Linked DNA regions of Alligator mississippiensis. The protein of the gene in region 3 interacts with the protein of the main gene of each other region in a pairwise test. Links are inferred from orthologs where the notes say so. Each region holds a gene or a part of one and is shown on either strand. Other genes may lie near its edges.

Region 1 (3,743 bases), on a different chromosome or scaffold from region 3:
GCATGTTCTGCCACTGACTTCACTGGATAACCCCCTGCCCTGGCTGTCCTTCTAAAGACAGGCTGAAGGACAGAACAAAGCAAAAGAGAACCAGCAATGCTCACAGGGAGGAAACTACAGTGGGGCAACTTCTAAGGATACATTGGAGATCGCACAAGCTTCCACTTGCCAGCAAACGCTCCATTTCTTTGTGCTTCTCCTCTACCCAGGAAGTCATGAACATACTGATAAGCACAAGTTGATGTGGCTGAAAACTCTGCAGGCTTCTAACAACACAACCTGACTGCTTACAGCCCTACTGCAAACTTTTTTTTTTTTTTTTTGAAGGAAGTGTAGGTGACTGTTTCCTACTTGGTAGTGGTTAGAGCTACCAGGGGTGGATATGATTAGAAAAAACTGTAAAAAACAGCTTTATGAGTCATTTATGTGGCTGACTTAGCTCTTGCTGGCTGGCTTAGACATCAGAAACCATGAAGAGCAAAAGCTTGAACAAGACTGTGAAAGAGCTGAGCAGCTTACACAGGAGGGTCTGAGAGTAAAACTTCATCCCCACTGCCTGATCAGGCGAAGAAGCCTGATATTAAGTTTTTCAACAGAGGATCCGAAAGCAGCATGCAAACCTGGGCTAGCCCATCCTCACTACTGCAAGTGGGCAAACCAAGGCAGAAAGAGGACAAGTGGCTCTGGGGGTGACTATCATTAAAAATCCCCCACATTTATTATAGAATACACTAATCTTGATCTCTCAGCACCTCTGACACTATTGATTTCTTAAATGGAGCTCAGTTTGGCTAGTGAAACTAGTCTGCGCAAGTCCTCTTTCTGGATTGAGTCAGCTTCACCTGGTCGTTCTCCTCCACTGGCGGACGACACTGGATCAGTGAGGAGAGCACTGGACCAGAAGCAGACACCTAGGCTTTGCTCCAACTCCGGCAATGACCTATTGGGTGACCTTGGAGCAGTCACTGTCCATCTGTCTCTTCCCTCCTTCCACCTTCACCTACTGAAATTTAGATACAAAAACTCTTTGAGGCAGGGTCTCTTTCAATTCAACACAAAGCAGCTCTCTGCTGCGGTCCATCCGCTCTACTGCATATAAAGAGATGAATTGTTTAGTGTCAATGCAGCAGCAGAAAGTAAATCCTAGAAGCCTGCCAACGACATTTCAAAAAGCAAGCCGCTGCTACTCCCACAGAGCAGCATAACCCACTTTTATTATTAATAGTAAGGCCCTACGCATGGAGGGCAAGCAATGTGGTGTCCTGCTGAGCCTCTCTCCCTAGAGCAGGACTCGATAAACCACTGGGCAGGACACGAGGGAAACTAACCAGGTTCCTCCTATTCAGCAAGACATGGCCGGGCTCAGACTCCCCACAGCCCCAGCTGGAAGTGTTGTTAGTAACAGGAAAAAGCAATGAGTGGCTCGACTGCATCGGGCAGGTGACAGCGGGCAACTCGCTTCCCTTCCACACCTTTGTCCCCTCCCGCGCGTCTAAGACGGGAATAAGGATGCCTCTGAAAGGGTACGGTCCCGACGAACTACCCCGCCACGAGCACCCGGCGCCTACAGAAAGCTTCAAGGCTCGTCTCTTCCCTCTCAGGAAGATGGAGGCGGAGGTAGTGAACGCGCAAGGGAAGATCCCAAAAGCGAGCAGATTGTAAAAGAAACTTCCCTTTCTCTGCGCGAGCTCCTTTTTGGAGATCGTGCCCGGACCATGCTGCAGGGCCGGGAAAGGATCACTGCACAGAAGACGCGAGAGACAGAGCTACCCCTATCTTCTGCAACAGACATGACAGGCTGGCGGTGTGCCACCAGCAACTTCTCCCAAACCTCCACCCTCGGGAAGTTGCAGCGCGGGGCTCGGGCTCGCCTGGCCCCGGCCGGCGGATCTCTCGACACCAAGTCGGAAAGGGAGGAGAAGCGCTCGGCAGGGCAGCGTCGTGGGCGCACGGAGCGACGAGCGCGAGGCCGCTCTCTGTCACCCCCGTGGAAACCGCGGCCCGGGCCCGGTGCTGGAGCCAAGGGGCTGCGGGCCTGACTGGGAGCGCCCAGGCCTGCGGTGCTGGAGGCTGCGGGGGAGGCACACAGGGCCACACGAGGGCCCGGGAAGGCCGCGGGCGGGGAGGAGGGAGCGCCTCGGGGCCTCGAAGCCCGGCCCGGCCCGGGGGCAACTCAGGCCTCACCTGCCCGGCAGCTTGGCGCTCCGCTTCCAGAACTGCTTGCTGCTGTCGGCGGCCATGGCGCGGCCGGGCCCCGGGCGGGAGCGGCGCGGCGGCGGGTCCCGGAGCCGCGGGCCGAGGCCGCTTCACCGCCTCCCTCCGGGGCCCCCGCGACCCGACCCCGGCGCCGCCATCTTGGGTGCGGGAAGGCAGAGCGCGGCCATTGGCTGCGCGGCTCGGGCGCCTCCCGCCGAGCCAATGCGGAGCTGTGATGCTGCGGGGACGTGAAGCGAGGGCACGGGAGAAAGGGCGGAGCCTCTCGCTTCAGGCGGGAGAGACCATCTGCGGGAAGGGAAGGACGAAGCCATTCTCACAGAGGAGGACGGGGCGGGGTGCGTGTGGGGCGAACCATCCTTGAAGTGGTCTGGAAGGAACCAACTTGCTAGAGGAGGAGTTTAAACCAAGCTGGGAAAGGGGCAAACCATCTGTCCTGGGAAGAAGGGGCGGGCACAGTTTAAACCAAGTGCAGGGGGAAAGCGGATTAAACCACCTGCGCCGGAGAGGAATGAGCTGCGGTTAAATAACCTGCCGGGGGGGGGGGGGGGAGACAGGATGGGTCCAACCACTCGCCCCGAGGAAGAGGGGTGGAATGCTGTTTGAGATGGAGTGGGTTAAACCATTTCCCCTGAGGGGAAGGGGCTGTTATTTCTGGGTGGGTAAGAGGGGGCTCTCTGCAGTTAACCCCTTCAGCTCCAGCCTGGAGGGGCAGAGGCCCAGGCGGACGCAGTGGGGTGGGTCCGCGGGGCGCTCGGATCCCTGCACGTCCACTGCGCTGGCCCGTGAACTCGCCACGTGAGCCTCGCTGCACGTGGGGCCTTGTCCTAAGCTTTCTAACGGCCCCCCCAGAGCAGCCGGGCCCTGCGCAGCCCGCCGGGGAAGCTGCCGCAGGAGCCTGTGCGGGTGATCGGGAGCTGCGTGGCCCCCCTTTGATTTCTGCTCCACCCAAATGTTTAAAACCAAGCGCCCGGCAGGAGCCACCGCCGCGTTTCTGTTGAGAGGGGCTGAGAGAGCCCCTTGACTCTGTCCTCTCCCGGTTCCTGTTAATCTCTCCACTCCGCCGGGGTGAACAACCTCCGTCCCTTTCAATGGTCCTGACGTCCCACCAACACAGCTACCCGTTCCTCTGCGCTTTTGCTGTCTGTTATCCCGTCCGGGTAATGGGAGTGAAATAGAGACGTTGTAGCCCTGGTGGGCCCGAAACGACACGGGGGGCAAGGATTTCTTAGGGCCTTCTCTGTTACTGCACCAGCTACGTCGCTGGGAGAAAGCTGGACGAGCGTCCGAATGGCAGACGTGGTTCCTCAGCAAGCTGGGCAGCTGCGCCCCGCTTCCGGTCTTCACACCTGAGGAAGAACGTCTTCCCTTTGCGAGCTGCCTAACTTCCTGGCAATGTCCAGGGACCCTGGGCTTCTCTGAGTTAAAAAATCCCCAATTTTCGGTTAAAAAACAGTAACTCCCAAATCCACATTTTTCTATGATTAAAACAAAACACCATTACACACACACACATACATGCACACACA
Region 2 (3,743 bases), on a different chromosome or scaffold from region 3:
CAAGGCACCCCACAGGTGCTGTGGTACCCTGTTGAAAATCACTGCTCTTGATAAGGCCAATTTCAGCCATGACCCTACGCAGAAATTCGGAGGCAAAACAAGTTGGGGGTGATGCTGTCATTTGTCCCAGGAAGTGTGCAAATGGAAGATGAATTTACCCACTTGTGCATGAACTTAATATTCCTGGCAAGATATACGAAAAGACTGGGCTAGAAGGAAATCAGCAACTTGCTAAGTCACAAAAATTAACAGAGCCAAAAGATAGAATAGCACCCACCCAGACCCAGGAGCAGCATTATGTCAGTGACTACAAGGTAACAAGTCCCAGCACCTAGTCCAACAGAGAAATCAGATTAATAGGTTTCCTTCTGGTTTTTGCAGTCAGATTTCAACATGCTTTAGGATGAGTCAGAAGTCCAACTCCCATAGGCAGCCTGAGCCTTTGTGTCATCCAACTCGCATCAAATCTTGTCACCTTCCATTACAACATACGCCAATTTGAAGCCCCGTAAGACACAGGGAGATATAAATGAGACATGGCATGCCACAAATGAGGACACATCACAAGAGAAGAACAATACACAGCACTGCTCACATCTGCCGGCATAAATACCATCAAGCAGTTACGATCATCCACAGATCTATCTACAAGGTTCTTTTACAGTGCCAGTCTCAGTCTGACAAGTCAAAAGGAGTTTAAGGAAGTCATGCTGATCTATGTGAATGCTAATGGAAGAATTAACAACTGCCAAGTAAAAGCAAGGGAAGGACTCACCCAGCCTGATATGAGAGATTAGAGAACCATAAATTCCATTTCGGGACCTTGCAATCACTGCACTTGCCTGCAGATTATGAAGTGAAGATTGCAAGCGGATTTGAGATCAGCAGAATGATTTTCCAGCATTAAAGACTTCCTACCATCAGCAATTTATAAACTGCAGGAGCTTTAATCAAGATAAGGGACCCCCTGGACAGAGCCCTTTAGGAAAGCAGCTGTCAGTTATGATTTAGAGAGATGACAGATAAAGAAAGAATGGTCTGTTTCTACAGATGGCGAAGCTGAAGCAGTAATGTGACCTGCTTATGATCTCAAAGAAGACCATAGCAGAGCCAAAAAGTGAACTCAGTAATTCAGTCTGAAGTTGGTACTTTAACAAACAGGCCTTTTCCCACCACTTCCCACTTTAACCCCAATGGAAGCAAGTGTGATGAATATTTTCTTAGGGTGTTGCTCAAATACAAAGTTAGGGAAGACTGCATTAAAAACTCCCAGCAGAAGGGACTGTTTGTTCAAAAGCAAACAGCAAGAGCCTAAGAGCAAACCAGAACATAAGCAAAACTGAAACTGATACTGCTCAGTCAAAGGTCACTGTAGTAAACTACTAAAAGTCAAAAATGGATTGTCAATTCAAGCAGTTTAGGAGACACAATAGCTCTTAGCCACAGCAGGAAGGAAATCCGATTTAAAAACTTCCAGTGCCCCGTTAAAGAATCCTAATCAAGAAACCATCGTAATTTGAAGGCAGGCACCACACCTAAGTGTCAAGGTGCACAATTACCTAGGGAGACTGGCCTAAAGTTCAAACACTAACCTGGGAACTTGGGTTCCAGTCCCTGCTTAGCGCTGGGTGACTCTAAATAAGTCACTGCATCTCTCTGCCTCAGCGTCCCACCAGTAGAAGGGGGGTAAGAGCACTGCTCTACCGCATGAGACTTCACCAGAGATTAGGATGCGATTGTATACTATGACAAGAATACACAAACTTACTGCCAGTTCCTAGAGCAGCAGCTCAGACTCCAGCCCCTGCAACCAGACCACGAACAGGCAGAGCCGTTCTGGGTCCAGATGCAGGTTCAGAGCCAGGGGTCGGATCCTGCTGAGCATACCAGACGCAGTGTTTATCGCCATAAACAGTCCCCTTGTGGCCTACAAGACAACTCTCAGAGCGTGACTGCACTGAACAGGTTCGCTGTTACGCTGGCTGGGGATGTGAAAACATTGCACCACTAACGAACAAGTTTCGCCGGCACTTCTCGCAATCCAGACCAGGGCCTTGGTAACCAGTGTTCGCAGGCTCTGATCCCAAAGACGCGAGAGTGAAATTCCTTAAAGCCGAGACAAAGGATACAATTTTCAGGAGCCGGGGAGCCAGAGTCTGGCTTTTCCAGGAGCGCGAGTCTCACTGCACCTCGGGGGATTTGGACAGCGAGAGGCCCGCGTCGCTCCCGGGAGCCACTGGCCCACACCCCCGCGGGCAGCTCCCACGGGCCCGGCTGCTCCGACCCGCCGACAGCACTGGAGCCGGTGGGGATGCAGTAAAACTCCCGCTCGTGTCGGGGCCTCAATCCCCATCCAGAGGGAGGCGGACAGGCCCGGTCGCGCTGACGGCCACGCGTGACACCGGCTCCGGGGCCTAGTGCGGCCGCCGCGGAGGGGCACGGGCACGGCTTGGGGGCGACCGCGGCCCCGGGCTCCCGCGGGTGGTGGGGGGGAGGGGCTCCCAGAGGGCGGCAGGGGCAATTGGCTGGAAGCTGCCGGGACCCCCGCGGCCCCACACCCGCCTGCTCCCCTCGGCCCGGGACCCAGGCTCACCGTGGCGGTGCGGCTCCTCAAACGACGGCGACCACGACTGGGCAACGACTTCCCGGCGCAGCCCGGCGAGCCCCAGCGCGCATGCGCCCGCGCGGGGCATGCTGGGGGATGTAGTCCCGGCGGGCGGGGCCGCGCGCTAGGGGGCGGGGCGAAGCGTGGGGAGGCTCGTCCTGCTTCTTCACGTGGCAGCGCGGCTCTCAGCTCCAGGGTCTCTCCCTCTTCCTCCGCTGGTAGCAAGTTCCCCTCACCTCCTAGCTCATGGGTTTACTCTCTGGTTTCAGAGTATTTATCATCATCTCTTCTTTGTCTGCCCCTTTTAATGGAGAGAGAGTTGCTGTCTGTGCTGCGTTTCGAGAGCCGGCTCAGATAAAAGCTGCTTTGCCCAGTGACGTTGTGGTGGATTAGATGGTGGGATCAAGACATAACGATGAGAACAACCTGTTACAGGGATAACTAGCAAGGCTGGGGAAGGTGATTGAAGAGGGGCATTTTAGGATCTGAGACTTCCAGCAGGGAAACACAGACATTCTTGTAAAGAAAACCGTGTTTATGCATCGGTTTTCCATCACTCTGTGCCTCAAAGAAGATTCATTGATGCAGGTTAATCCTGAACTCGCGTCCTGTTTTCTGCGTTGCTCTGGGTTCTTGAACCCTCCGACATCAAACGAGCCTAAGAAGTCTGAACAAGAATCAGATACGGCTTTGAAACCAGCGTCTGATGAACACTAATCATCCCCATTGTGGCTGTGAGTGATAAAGGCAGGATTGCAGAAGTGGCACAAAGGAAGAGAATTACCTGCAGGATTAAATAACCTTTCTGTTCTCAGCCTTAAGGATGAGCACTGAAGAAAGAGCTTCATTTCTCCAAAAAGATTTGAAAAGCCTTACAGGGAGGGGGCTCAGTTCTCTCCTCTGCCAAATTCAGGGTCAGGCTCGATCACACATTTTTCAAGAACAATTCTGCATTGGTGGAGACAGCTGGGTTAAAACAACCTCACTTCTTCCCACTTCTGAGACATTGGCAATTTTTATTCTGAGTCTTTTGTTGAAAGCTTTTTATTGTACAGAGCAGGAGGATTGATTTTTTTTTCTTTAGCTCTAATTCTCTTTGGTGCTTTAGAATTGCTTTGCATTCTCTGTTCTTCCCTTG
Region 3 (3,743 bases):
CACACTGCCCCAGGCTCCCAGCAGGGCCATTGCCCTTGTAGCCCCGCCGGCGGGCACACCTGAAAGATGTCGTTGGCACACTTGCGGCACAGGTTGTGCTGGCAGGGCAGGATCACCACAGGCTTGGTGAACATCTCCAGGCAGATGGGACAGATGAGCTGCTTCTCCAGCGTGTCCATGCTCTGCCCGTCCCCCAGCATCGGCTTGAAGCCCACCGCAAAGTTCATCCCCACGGTTGCGTTGCCTGCCCCACTGCACCTCGGCCCCACTACCACCACTGGGCTGCCTGGCCTCGGCTGTCTGCCCCACTACTGCTGTCGGCCTGTCCTGCCGCCCCAGTACCTCAGTATGTCTGCCCTGCCCTTTCTGTCTGCCCCGGTACTGCCGCCGGCCTGTCCTGCCGTCCGGTTGCCCCAGTACCTCTCTGTCTGCCCTGTCCTGTCTGCCCCACTAGCTCCACCGGCAGTTCCTGCTCTCAGCTCGCTTGCCCCGTGCTCGGCCTGCCTGCTCTCTCCGTCCGTCCCGGAGCTGCCCCCAGCGCGTCTGGGGCTCCGCTGCCCGTCCCTGGCCTCTGCCCATCCCCGCAAGGGTGAGAGCAGGGGCTAATTTTAGCTGAGCTTTGTGCTGTGCAGCATCCCTGAAATTCCAGCTCCATTTTTATCCCTGGCTGCGGCTGCAGCTGTCAGTAGCGTCGAGTGACACTGAGTCACACACTCCCGGAGGGAGAGGGGCATGGGGCAGGCAGGCGCCTGTGCTGGGAGAGCCCATGGGACCCCCTACTTGCCCCCCAGCCCAGGGAAGAAGGGTGCTGAGGGCCTTACTAGCAGAGGCTGAGGGCTCCGCCAGGGGCAAGGGGGAATGTGGGGAAGGCCTGGGGGGGTGTCGTGGCCATCAGGGGATAGCCCAGGCCCCAACCCCATGCTCCTGGGTCGCGCTGCAACCTCTGCCACCAGGACAGAGCTACAGAGCTGGGACAAAGGCCCCAGCCCTATGTGCCCATGGAACACCACTGCTCTTGCCCCCAGCAGACAGCCACAGATGTGGCCCAGGGATGCAGGCCCCAGCCCACAGCCCAGCAAGGTCCACAGGCAGTGAGGGATAGCATGGCCATGGGAGCAAGGGGTACTGCTCTCTCCCTGGGGCCTGGGCTTGCTCTAAACAGGGAGCTCCAGCCAGCACACCGTGCTAGGCACATCCCAGGAGCTAGCATGCGATGCCTGGGGACACCACACCTGGGGACATGCCCAGACACCAGGCCACAGTCCTGCAATCACCCTGGGCCTCAGCAAGTGCCCCCTGTTTGGGCCTGGGCTTTGGGAGACAGGGAGCCAGTACATAACTTGGTCAGAGCCAGCACTGCCAGTCTGAAATCTAGCACAGGGTCCTCCCCCAGCACCAGGCCCTGGCCCCCGCACACCTGAGCCCCTCCAGGGAGCTGGGTGCAAGGAGGATGGCAGCTGGGAGAAGCTGGGGCTGAGTAAGGCCCCCTGGCCGCTGCAGCCACCCAGCAAACAGCAGTCCCTAAGCTTCTGTAAACCTGTGAAGCAGACACCAGGGACCTCCCCCATCTTTGCTGGAACCCGCTCGCTAGACCCTTGTTTCTGCTGGGGGCACAGCCCAGCCTAGTGCCCCCCCCCGGCCCCCATCCTGGCAGGGAGCCTCCAGCACTATATTTAGGTAGTGAGGCAGGGCCTGGGCTCCAGTGGTGGGTACAGCCCGTGCTGGGCGCAAGCCCGAGTGGCAGGACACTACCTGCCTTGAACAATTGCAGGTGGCACCAGGCCCAGCCCAGGCACCGAGCCCACAGGCAAATTTAGGTCCAAGCTCCAAGCTGCAGCACAGGTCTCTGCTGTGGGAAGCTTCCCACCAGTGCTGGCAGGGGCAGCCCCCACCCCCTACCCTAGTGTGGCGCAGCCACCTCGCACACAGCCCAGCCCATGGGCCCAGACACTTGCTCCCAGCACTGGCAGCACCACTGGGGGAGGCCAGAGCTGGGGCCTGGTGCCAGAGCCCACCCTAGCCATGATAAGTTCCCCACCCCCTGCCATGCTGTGAGGGGAAAGAGCAGCCAAGGAAGAAGAGGGCAGCCTGCAGCTCCACAGTTGACAGGACAAGGGCCACATCCTCTGGGAACCCTCTGTCTCCCCACTGAGTTAGGGAAGCACAGGGACCCACCAAGAGATAGCCATAGCTGCAGTGATGGGCCGCGATGCCTGATGCCCATGACTAAGACAGGGTGTGGGGCACAGGCTGGGTGAGTGGCAGCATGAGCAGCAGGGCTGAAGCAGACAACAGGACCCAGCACCAAGTGCAAGCAGCCCCCAGAGCAGGTGCAATGGACACGACCTGGGCTGAGGGCACTGGAGACCTGCTGACAGGGGGGCCAGGACACAGAGGCTGCAGCACGGGCAGGAGAAGCAGGGGGTACCCAGCCCCAGGACAAACAGATACAGTGAGGCAGATGCCCTCCGCTCATCCTTTAATGGTGTCTATAAAATCCATACAAAAGGTTCCTCGACCCTGCTGCATTGGGCCCAGGTGAGACCAAAGGGCCTGGGTGGCGGCTTAGAGCCAGGCAGCGCTGGCCAAGCCGCAGGGCCAAACCAGGGCGCAGGAAAGGGGGTGCTACATTGAAGGGGCTGTGCTCCCGCCCCCGGGAGCAGCTTTTGGCACCCAGCATGCAGGGAGGAGCCCTGCTGGGACACCGAGCCCTGCTGCTGCCGGCCGGGGGGTCAGGTACAGTGCTACCGGTCTCACGCATGCCCAGGCGGAGTACGGCCCAGCCGGCCTCCACACACGTGCTTCTCAGGCAGGCTGTGTAAGCCAGGCCCCACCCTGGAGAACATGGCACCCACAGGCCTGGGGACATGGCCAAAGGGGGGACTATAAGGGGAGTTGGTGTGGGGGGGGGTGCTGGTGAGTGGGGGCCAGGCTGGCACAGGGTGGGGCTGCGGCCAGGGTCTCTGGTTGGGCCTTGAGGGCGACCCCCTGCCGTGGGGCTCAGTGTCACTGCTGGTGAAGGAAGCATGGGGAGCTGCCGCAGTACCGGGGGCTCCGGGCTACTATGCAGCCCCCACAACCACTAGGTGTGACCAGGCAGCAGGGGGCCCTGGGGAGCCAGGCTGGCGCTGGCCCCTTTAACCTGAGATTCTTGCTGAGGCAAGGCTGCCGGGCCAGTGCTGCCAGCGCAGCGGGACAGGGATGCCCAAGCAGCAACAACTGGGGGGGAGCCCCGCGCTGAGTCCTGGTGGAGGCGCCGGGACATGGACTAGCCTCATTTTTCTGTTTGGGCTTTGGCGCTTGGTGGGGTCTCTGCTCTGGTAGCTGCTGGTGGGGGCTGTGCCACGATAGGTCTGCGGGGCTCTGCGGGGCAAAAGCAGAGGGTCAGAGACTGTGAGGGGCACAGGCCTCACCCCTCCCAAGGCCAACAGAAGCCAATCCTACATTTCTACCTCTGCCATGGGACTCCCAACCCCAGACCAAGCCAGGCCTAGTCTATGCTTAGAGGCACTGAAGCCAAAGGGGCAGCTGTCCTCGGCTGCCAGAACCTGGGACAAGCCCAGAGGCACCAGCCCAGCACCAGGACAGACCCGGGTGTCAAAAACAGTCACTGGTGCTGGCCCAGATCTGGGGGCACCACCTGAGCAGCCAGGCCTGGGGCACGCTGCATAGCCCGAGGATGGCGGCAGCCACAAGCAGGGCCCTGCATGAGGTGCAGGCCAGCACTGGGGCCTGCCGCAGGC

Evidence for each region.
Region 1: the proteins of TRIM54 (region 3) and TBC1D22B interact in binary tests that used the Homo sapiens proteins (3 or more experiments, as listed by UniProt). The link is inferred for Alligator mississippiensis from reciprocal best matches to the Homo sapiens genes TRIM54 and TBC1D22B.
Region 2: the proteins of TRIM54 (region 3) and DTX2 interact in binary tests that used the Homo sapiens proteins (3 or more experiments, as listed by UniProt). The two-hybrid records come from large-scale screens. The link is inferred for Alligator mississippiensis from reciprocal best matches to the Homo sapiens genes TRIM54 and DTX2.

Annotation. Positions count from the first base shown.
Region 1 is NC_081837.1:35,936,025-35,939,767, reverse strand, and holds the start of TBC1D22B (TBC1 domain family member 22B), read right to left. Parts: upstream 2,338-3,743; 5' UTR 2,241-2,337; coding exon 2,185-2,240; intron 1-2,184. UniProt on the Homo sapiens protein: May act as a GTPase-activating protein for Rab family protein(s).
Region 2 is NC_081837.1:16,777,663-16,781,405, forward strand, and holds the start of DTX2 (probable E3 ubiquitin-protein ligase DTX2), read right to left. Parts: upstream 2,688-3,743; 5' UTR 2,594-2,687; intron 1-2,593. UniProt on the Homo sapiens protein: Regulator of Notch signaling, a signaling pathway involved in cell-cell communications that regulates a broad spectrum of cell-fate determinations.
Region 3 is NC_081824.1:197,069-200,811, forward strand, and holds the start of TRIM54 (tripartite motif-containing protein 54), read right to left. Parts: upstream 2,359-3,743; 5' UTR 228-2,358; coding exon 60-227; intron 1-59. Other genes in the region: DNAJC5G (dnaJ homolog subfamily C member 5G), read right to left, coding at 3,275-3,363. UniProt on the Homo sapiens protein: May bind and stabilize microtubules during myotubes formation.